Saccharomyces cerevisiae S288C: one gene and its partner. Changing the gene in region 1 together with any one later gene gives a genetic interaction. Each region holds a gene or a part of one and is shown on either strand. Other genes may lie near its edges.

The links. A genetic interaction does not mean that the proteins touch.
Region 2: mutations in EXO5 (region 1) and OPT2 impair growth when combined (synthetic growth defect), as found in Saccharomyces cerevisiae (one large-scale study listed by BioGRID).

The regions. Positions count from the first base shown.
Region 1 is NC_001134.8:563,963-568,040, forward strand, and holds EXO5 (Exo5p), read left to right. Parts: upstream 1-1,760; coding exon 1,761-3,518; downstream 3,519-4,078. Other genes in the region: TOS1 (Tos1p), read right to left, coding at 1-608; YSY6 (Ysy6p), read left to right, coding at 1,269-1,466; Arf family GTPase ARL1, read right to left, coding at 3,913-4,078. UniProt on the Saccharomyces cerevisiae protein: Single strand DNA specific 5' exonuclease involved in mitochondrial DNA replication and recombination. Releases dinucleotides as main products of catalysis.
Region 2 is NC_001148.4:923,766-928,860, reverse strand, and holds OPT2 (Opt2p), read left to right. Parts: upstream 1-1,923; coding exon 1,924-4,557; downstream 4,558-5,095. Other genes in the region: YPR195C (uncharacterized protein), read left to right, coding at 567-896. UniProt on the Saccharomyces cerevisiae protein: Transports tetra- and pentapeptides. Does not transport glutathione.

The DNA of each region.
Region 1 (4,078 bases):
GTGGTTTTAGAGGAAGAGATGGAAGACTGGCTTTCACTCGTTTCAACTGCTTGAGCACTGCTGGACAAAACAGTAGAGTCTTTAGTGTAAGAAGAAGGAACAGCAGGACCGACAACGGTATTGGTGGAATCGGCTGTGACTGTTTGACCATTACTGTCGACGTAAACAGTGGAAGTAACTTGAACATATTCAACAGCAACATCCCTCTTGTGCTGATGCTTATGTCTGGAGACAACAGCTTCACCTTCCTTACAGGACTCGATTGATTGTTTCTCTGATCTTTTCTTCAAAGCATTAGATTCACCATTTGGGTAGTAAACACCAAATTGTAGTAACTCGATCGGACCCCTGAAATGAACAGATAGTTCCTCGTTGAAGGGAGCCAAGCTACCAGAAGCAGTGAAATCAGCTTGGGTACAAGCACAAGAAGATTCATCCATATTGGTGACATCTTGGTAGGTAGCAGATAAACCGACGTTAGAGTAAATGATGGCATCGGTTTGAGCACAATAGTAATTACCGCCAGAGTAAGTACAATCAGCGTTCACGAGTGACACAACTGAAGAAAACAAACCGACTAATGCGGTCATGGAAAGCTTTTGTAACATTTTTTTCGTTCAAATTCCGTTAGGTTTTAGATATTTTATGGGGTGTAAATGGAAAAACGAAAAGGTGAGAAAAAGACGTTCTATTGAAGGAGTGACTAGAAGTTGGATAAGTTAGGTTGGTTTGAGTTTTGATTCTGGAGTCTTCTTGCGAGAAAAGAAATAATTATAATATAAAAAAAAATTGAATGGAGATAAGAAGTTTAACTAGCAAAGTTCGAGAGATATAAAAAGTAGAGATGCGAAAATAAAATTAAAACAAATCTGAAAATAATGGAAGTGAAACAAGGCTAAGCAAGAAAATTTTCTATATTGCCAAGACAGGAACGTTTGTGATGAATCACATCTGCATTCGTGGTATATTTAAATGAAAATCCCAAGTTTCGAATTTTCACGTTTGCTGTACGACGAAAAAGCGTGGAAAAATAAACAAAACCAGCACTAAATCGCCAACGAAAAAGGAAAGTCGCCAACGCGAAAAGAAAAGAAAAAGCGAGGCGCAGATCTCGTGGTATGTGATATCGTGTCTAATGACTTGACGTGGCTTTTTTTCTTGTCGCCATCTGCGCTTACTTGCGTTATATCAAATATAATTTCAGCACAGCATTACATGCAGAAATAGCAGGGTGCAGAGGTCGAAGTAGATAGAGGACAACACCTGCGATGGCCGTACAGACACCAAGACAAAGACTGGCTAATGCCAAGTTTAACAAGAATAACGAAAAGTATAGAAAATACGGTAAGAAGAAGGAGGGCAAAACTGAGAAAACCGCACCTGTGATATCCAAAACTTGGTTGGGTATTCTTCTGTTTCTTCTCGTAGGTGGTGGTGTTTTGCAACTAATCAGCTATATCCTATGAAGCAGTGGCAAATTGCATATATAAGTGTACAGTGGAAGCAAGTACGTAAATAAATAAGCGATTTCGAATAATAATAACAACAAGCATAAGGCAGTATTACCCGCGTTGTCATTTATGGATGCGAAAAAAGATGAAGTAATTCAAGTGCTATTGTGATTTACCATGCCAATCAAACGTGCAACAAAGATGAGTATGAGGGGGGACCCAGGCATAGTACACAGAAAAGCTTTGTAGACTGTCTTTGTTTTCTTAATTTTTCAAGTAGGCTTTCTGCTTTTCTTCTGTACTTATCGTATGCTGGGCCGGGCACTAATCAACAAGTATGGATTTTTAATTCATCCTAGGAGATTTGTACATTTAAACGATAAGTCCCTTGATGGAACATTTATACTACCTTCGAAGAAAAATCATATGTATGATGTTCCAACTAATGATCCAAGCGGTATCCTGAATGCCTCGGATATCGATAGAATCAATAATTTGCCATTTTTCGATAACACCAGTCCGACAAAAGAGACAAATACTAAGGAAGGAGCATTGTTGAGCGAAAAATTGGCCAGCGTTAAAGAATTATTTGGAGAAGACCCTGAAAATCCTTCGTTTATCAATTACAGATTCCCCAGAGGTTTAGAGAATCCCTATTTTGACATTCAAGTAAATCAGCTAAAGAAAAAACGATTATCCGTCACACAATTATGCACTACGCAGAATTGGTGCGAGTTAAGGAATTTTTACGACTTTTATTCTCAAAATTTGTCTAACCAACTACTGAACTTAAAATTTCAGGTGCAGAAAGGTAAAAAGATTCATAAATCACTAGAGGACGAAACGCATCCTGAATTAAATCAGTATAAAAGCTTTACCCACAATTTCCTTGCACTGACAAAATTATCTATGGATATTGATAATGATATGGATGCCCTGCTAGATAACTGGTTCAACTCTATCAATAGATTGGTCTCTTTATTCACCAAAGGTGACGGTCATGCAAGAGAAATAGTTTGTCATGGCTTCATTAACTTAGAAGATGGCAAACTGGTGGAGCATTTGCTGAACAGTGATAGCAAGACAAAGGAAAATGTGATTATATCAGGTGTTATTGACCACTTAACTCTTAGAAATAGGCACAATCATCAAGTACAGAAAGGTGCAGCTCATCTTGATACGGAATATCAGAGCTGGGGTAATATCCTCACTAATTTACTATCAAATCTAAAAGAACTGAAGTCGAATAACGAGATTGTTATCTCTGATATCAAAACTAGGTCAGTACCAAAAATACCATCTATTGAGTCCGTTATAGAATCCTCTAAATTACAGACAATGTATTATAAGTTTTTTTTTTCCCACCTTAGTCAAGACATGACACAAACCTACCATAGCTTTTTAATCAATGCCCAGAGAAGAGGACTCGACGTTGATGCGCCCATAAATCCTACCAAGATTTTAACATTCATACTAACAAACCCACTCTTCGCTAATGATGTGAAGAACCTCCTGTACGGACTACCGATAAATCATTCTGCTTTCGATAACGACGCCAAAGGCTCTAATACATTTGATATGACCGCGTTCAATGATTTGCTGGATAGAGGTCCCACATCTTTTAACGTTCCGATTGAGCAAGACGAAGATAGTTCGGAGTCAACAAAATGTGTATCTTTGCGAGATTATGGACATTTTTATACGAAATGGAAGACACCTCTAACTTTGAAATACTTTGCGGCAAGGTTATCACAGATCTATTTTATTGTGGGTAATCTCGTTTCGAATGATTTAATGATAGAATATTATTACCATAACGATAATTTCCACAATATCATCTTCCCATATGATCCCTTGAAACTGGGAACCCATGCCCATGATTCTGCAATGGTTTGGTTTGGTGGCAGAGATATGCATCCAATTGAGCCTACTCAAAAAAACTTCAACACATACTGTAAGTTTTGTGACTACAGACACGTTTGTTCTTGGAAAAATAAAAATGAATTGAAACTTATTGATCTAGGGAAAGAATTAAAAAAAATTATTCTTGAATCAAGTATGAAGTAGTGTAGGTATTGTAACATTATTTATTCTAGTTATTAAAAGGGTGTTGTTTCGTGAATACATTGAAGTCCTTTATTGGGTTATTAAGCACATAAATCTGTTTCTGCTTTCGGACGTCCTGTTTCAATAAATCGGAATTGAAATGACAATTTAATTTAAATGTATATATGCAACTTTCATTAAGAGGTCATTAGGTATTTTAATGCGGCCTTCTCATTCATCGGAACGATGTAATTGCCTTTAGAATTAAAACCCAAAGAGAAACATGTATACACTTACTAACTCTATTATGTTTGGATAGAGCTCCTTGATAATTCAGTTACAAAACAAATTATATGTATATTCAATGCCATTTAAAAAGTATGCATCTACACTTTTTTTTTGCAAATCTTTATCGCTATAACTGTTCCTCTTTTATAACATCAATCAACCAATCTAAACCTTCGGTAATACCTTCGCCTTTAATTGCACTGGATGCTACGATAGACCAACTTCTGTCCTTCAATTCTACAAGATTCAGTTCTTTGGAGACTTCACTGGCACTTAATGCACCCGGTTGGTCT
Region 2 (5,095 bases), on another chromosome or scaffold:
TATGGGTCGTTTAGATAAATAATGAAGTTATTCTAAGCCGCACGTAGTAACAAATCTTGAAGTAAAGGACACCAAAAATTGTATTCCGTGCTGTGGAATGTTGGTGCCAGCATTAATCGAATGGTCCATTTCTTTTCTTACCTTTTTGAAGGAACTGATCCTTCAATTCATATTTTTCACTAACGAAAGAAAATAAAGATTTAGTAGGATACCAAGTACTAAAAGCAAAAAAAGAGTATAGTATTTACATAATCTACATATGTGCAAAGGCTCCTCCTTATTTAGAGAAGAAACTTTCCCTTTCCTTAACCGATGCGGTAATTCAACACGTGAATTTCAGCTATTTTAAGTTTGTTTGGTATTCACAGTTCAGAATATTTCTTTTTGAGTCAGCTCATTTCACGTATTTGCAATGTATGTCATTTAGTTGAGATGATAATGAAAGAGCCCCACGCGCTGGTGCGATCTATGATGAAAAATGTAAATACGAAACTTTACTAAAAATAAATAGGGCAGAATATAGATAAGCAAGAATAGAAAGATCACAGATTTGACTGCACAGTCAAATGAATTCTCTCATCCCTCTTTTAGTGGAAGCATCAACATACATTGTAAGAGGAGAAAGCAGCATCTCAATTGCCATTGGAATAGGGCCTCAAGCTAGCAGGAGTGTGCCGTACCACATTCTTTGCAGGGGATGTGACGGCACGGTAACAACTTTTCGTACGTGGCATACGCAACCACTCGGGCCTTGCAATACAATCATCATAGGCAGAAAAGGTAATGAGACAACCGGCGGCGCAGAACAGAGGAGGCAGCAGCACTTAACGTCTGATTCAGCAACAAAAGCGTCATTGGTGGGTTTTTGTGGGCTGTATTATTATTTCAGGAAATAGTAACTGAACGTGTCAACTTTGCATTAACGCGTTTTTCCTATTTGGGTACGGAGATATTTATGTTTTGATAAGCAAATGCTTCAATTGTGCCGTGCGCATCATCAATCCCACTCACTGAGGAACTCTATAATGAAAAAAAAACAAACAGGCAAAAGCAGATAGACCAATAATTGATATCTGATTTTTCACAAAAAATGCAGGAGAGATCAGCATTAAACGGATCCATCACATCCACCGGACGAATCCGTCTCAAATATGGCAGCCACGCTGGTGTGACACATAATATTACTGCAACACTTCTTATCTCATTATTTTTATCATGGTAAAAGAAGTCAACACTATGCGAGGAATACCAAAAGAAAATTTGGTTCACATCATGGTGTCAGTAAAAGCAACCGACAAAAATCGGGGGGTTGCTGTCCGACGTAGTTTCTTCGTTATAATTTTCAATAATCCCACATTTCGTTGTTAACCTTTTGCAAAAATTGATGTAGTTTGTTTTCCTCTTGGCCCCTGTTGTGGTTACCGAACACGTGAATCGCCATTGCGGTTGTCAATATCAGCCCATTGGGTTTTATGAAGATTCGTAACACCTTCGATTATTTAAGTTTATTCTCTTATCTACAATAATAATAGCGTTCTTTTACAATTGGACGCTGTTATCTTACTTCTGAATGTTCATGGATTGGAAATTTTCAATCATTTCACGAATTATTAGCAATGAAGATAAGTAACATTAAAAAAAATATTGATATCAACTTGCTAGGTTTCTTCTCGCTTCAAAAAAATTTATAAATGGGAATGGAACACTATCCTGTGTAAACTTAAGTCATGTCTCAAGTCAGTTGTTACTTATATTCATTCCTATCGAAACATCCCAAAAAATAATATTTGAAACACTTACAATCATACATTGAACGTCTAAACAACGGCGGCATTTTTTTAATAGCAGAAACGAACATATTAGCTTATTCTACAACTAGTAGGGTTTGTTATACGCAATATTGCTGTTGAATTATTAGAAATTATGAGTGAAACAGTCAAAGATAAAGTTATAATTGATGAGAAGGTATCCACAAAAGGTACTGTTGATTACGCCGAGGGTGCTGAGTATTCTGAGAGGCTTTCAAATCATTCATCAGACTTTTCTCAGTGGTATACGGATGAACAGATACTGCACTTTATGAAGAAGCTGGGTTATGAAAATCGCACTCTTTATGATATTCCGGAAGACGTTGCGTATATCCTCAAAAAAATGCCTGAATTGACACTTGAGGATTCCTTCAAAATACTAAAAGACTCTATCATCTATTTCAAGGATGATGAGAACATTCCACACGATCAATATGAGGAGTGGAAGAGATTGGTTGACTTGGAGGACTTGGATTCAAAAGAGGGGATAGATGAATATGATAGCTTTGACATTAGAGCATTTGCTTCTGCTATTAAATTTCATTCGCCTTACCAAGAGGTTAGAGCTGTTGTTGATCCAGAAGATGATCCCACCATTCCAGTGGAGACATTCCGAGCATATTTTCTGGCAATAATTTGGTCTGTCATCGGTTCAGGATTTAATGAGTTTTTTTCACACAGGGTGGTTTCAATTTCACTGAATACTCCAATTATCCAAATGTTTTTATATATCTGTGGTAAGGCTTGGGCTAAAACTATCCCCTGTTGGACTATAACCATCAGGGGCAGAAAGTATGGTATCAATATCGATAAACCATGGACCCAAAAAGAGCAAATGTTTTCAACCTTGTTATATGCAATTTGTCAAGGCGCGTTCTATACTCATTACAATATTCTAACGCAAAAACTCTTTTACCATTCTGCTTTCTCGTTTGGCTACCAATTTTTACTTTCGTTATCCGTACAATTTATTGGATTTGGATTTGCTGGCATCCTTAGAAAATTCGTTGTTTATCCAGCCCGTGCACTATGGCCAACAGTCATGCCAACTATTGCTATCAACAAGGCACTATTGGGTAAAGAAAAGCATGAATCTGGAATGAGCAGGTATAAATTCTTTTTCTTGACTTTTTTTATCATGTTCATCTATAACTGGTTTCCCACTTACATTATTAATATTCTAAACACTTTCAATTGGATGACCTGGATCAAGCCAAGTAACATTAATCTCGCAAACATCACGGGAGGAGTCACTGGTCTTGGGATTAATCCTATCTCATCTTTTGACTGGAATGTTATTTCGTTTAATTCTCCTTTAGTTTACCCATTTTGGTCATACTTAACACAATATCTTGGTTGCATATTAGCAGCTTTAATTGTTATTGCAGTATACTATAGTAATTATATGAGTTGCCAATACCTGCCAATATTCACAAATTCTTTGTATACTAATACTGGCCATTCCTTTAAAGTTACTGAGGTATTAGACAGTGACAATAAGCTAGATGTGAAAAAATATCAAAGCTACTCGCCACCATACTATAGTGCTGGAAATTTGGTATCATATGGTGCTTTCATTTGCGCATATCCTCTGATGATTACATGGTCGTTTATTGTACACTCAAAGTTATTGTTCAATGCTTTCAAAGATTGGGCTTTGAATTTGTGGGCCATGAGAAAACTTAAATCTTGGGTCACAATGTTCAAAAGCGATTACAGGGCGCTCGACGATTATGATGACCCACATTCTAATGCCATGAAAAACTATAAAGAAGTTCCAGATTGGTGGTATTTTGCCATATTGATAGGTTCACTTGTTGTTGGAATAGCTGTTGTAGAGCACTACCCAACAAATACACCAGTTTGGGGTCTTTTTGTTTGTTTAGGATTTAATTTTGTTTTCTTGATTCCAACTACTATCCTTCAAGCAACCACTGGTTATTCGTTTGGTTTGAATCTACTAATTGAAATGGTGATGGGGTACGCTTTACCAGGTAATCCAATCGCCATAATGATTTTGAAGGCTTTTGGTTATAACATCGACGGCCAAGCAGATAATTACGTTTCTAACTTAAAAATAGCGCATTATTGTAAGATTCCGCCAATGGCGCTATTCAGGGGACAATGTGTTATAGTTTTCATTCAGATATTTGTCAATCTAGGTGTTCTGAATTGGCAAATCTCCAATATCAAAGACTTTTGCACACCTCATCAAAACGCAAAATTCACCTGTCCTGATGCTGTGACCTACTATAATGCTTCCGTTGTCTGGGGTGCAATTGGGCCAAAAAGAATTTTCAATTACATTTATCCAATATTTAAATGGTGTTGGTTGATAGGCGCATGCATTGGCATATTTTTTGGTGTTTGGAAGCGCTGGGGTAAGTTTTATCCCAGATATTTTGACCCAATGTTATTTGTAGGTGGAATGCTTAATATGAGCCCTCCATATAACCTGATGTATTACACTTCTGGTATGATTGTTAGTTACATTTCCCAGTACTACATGAAAAGACACCATTTAAATCTGTGGGAGAAATATAATTATGTTTTATCGGCAGGCTTTTCAACGGGCTTGGTTTTATCAGCTATTATCATTTTCTTTGCTGTCCAATATAAAGACACAGCTTTTAATTGGTGGGGCAATACAGTTCCGTATGCTGGTGCCGATGGCGTTGGCTATCCTCTAAAGAACATAACTGATACAGCAAATGGCTATTTCGGCTATGCTCCAGGACACTATCCATGACTAGAACTTTTCTTAGAACGCTATCATTTCTTTATTTTTTTTTCTCCCCTGCACTTGTCTTTTCTATCAGTCACCTGCATGTATTTAGTTTTTATTCTTCTATCTATAGTACAGAGTTACTTTGATATGTAAAAAGCCATCATTTTGTCTTCATACCTGCCAAAACTATAACAGTACACTCTAGTTCAATATTTTTGACACTTTTCATGCTTCTCGCCTTTTCTCTGTGTATGCGGATGTTATCAATAAAGAAAAATGCTTTGATACCAGAATAGGAACTACATTTTTTTTTGGCTCATCGACGAAGTGATAAGGAGCCTGGCAATTGAAAATCAATCAAGAATATTTTTTGCTTCCAACTACAAGTAATGATGGTGTTTATTTTGCATGAATTTTGGTATTATTGCAGAAATACAAGTGGTAAATAGTTTTGTAAACGTATATTTCAAGTTGGAATGAGATGCGTTGCACTACTGGATAATTACTCCGGTTGAAGCATATTCAAATACAGTATCACCGTTTTTTGGGATGATTCAGG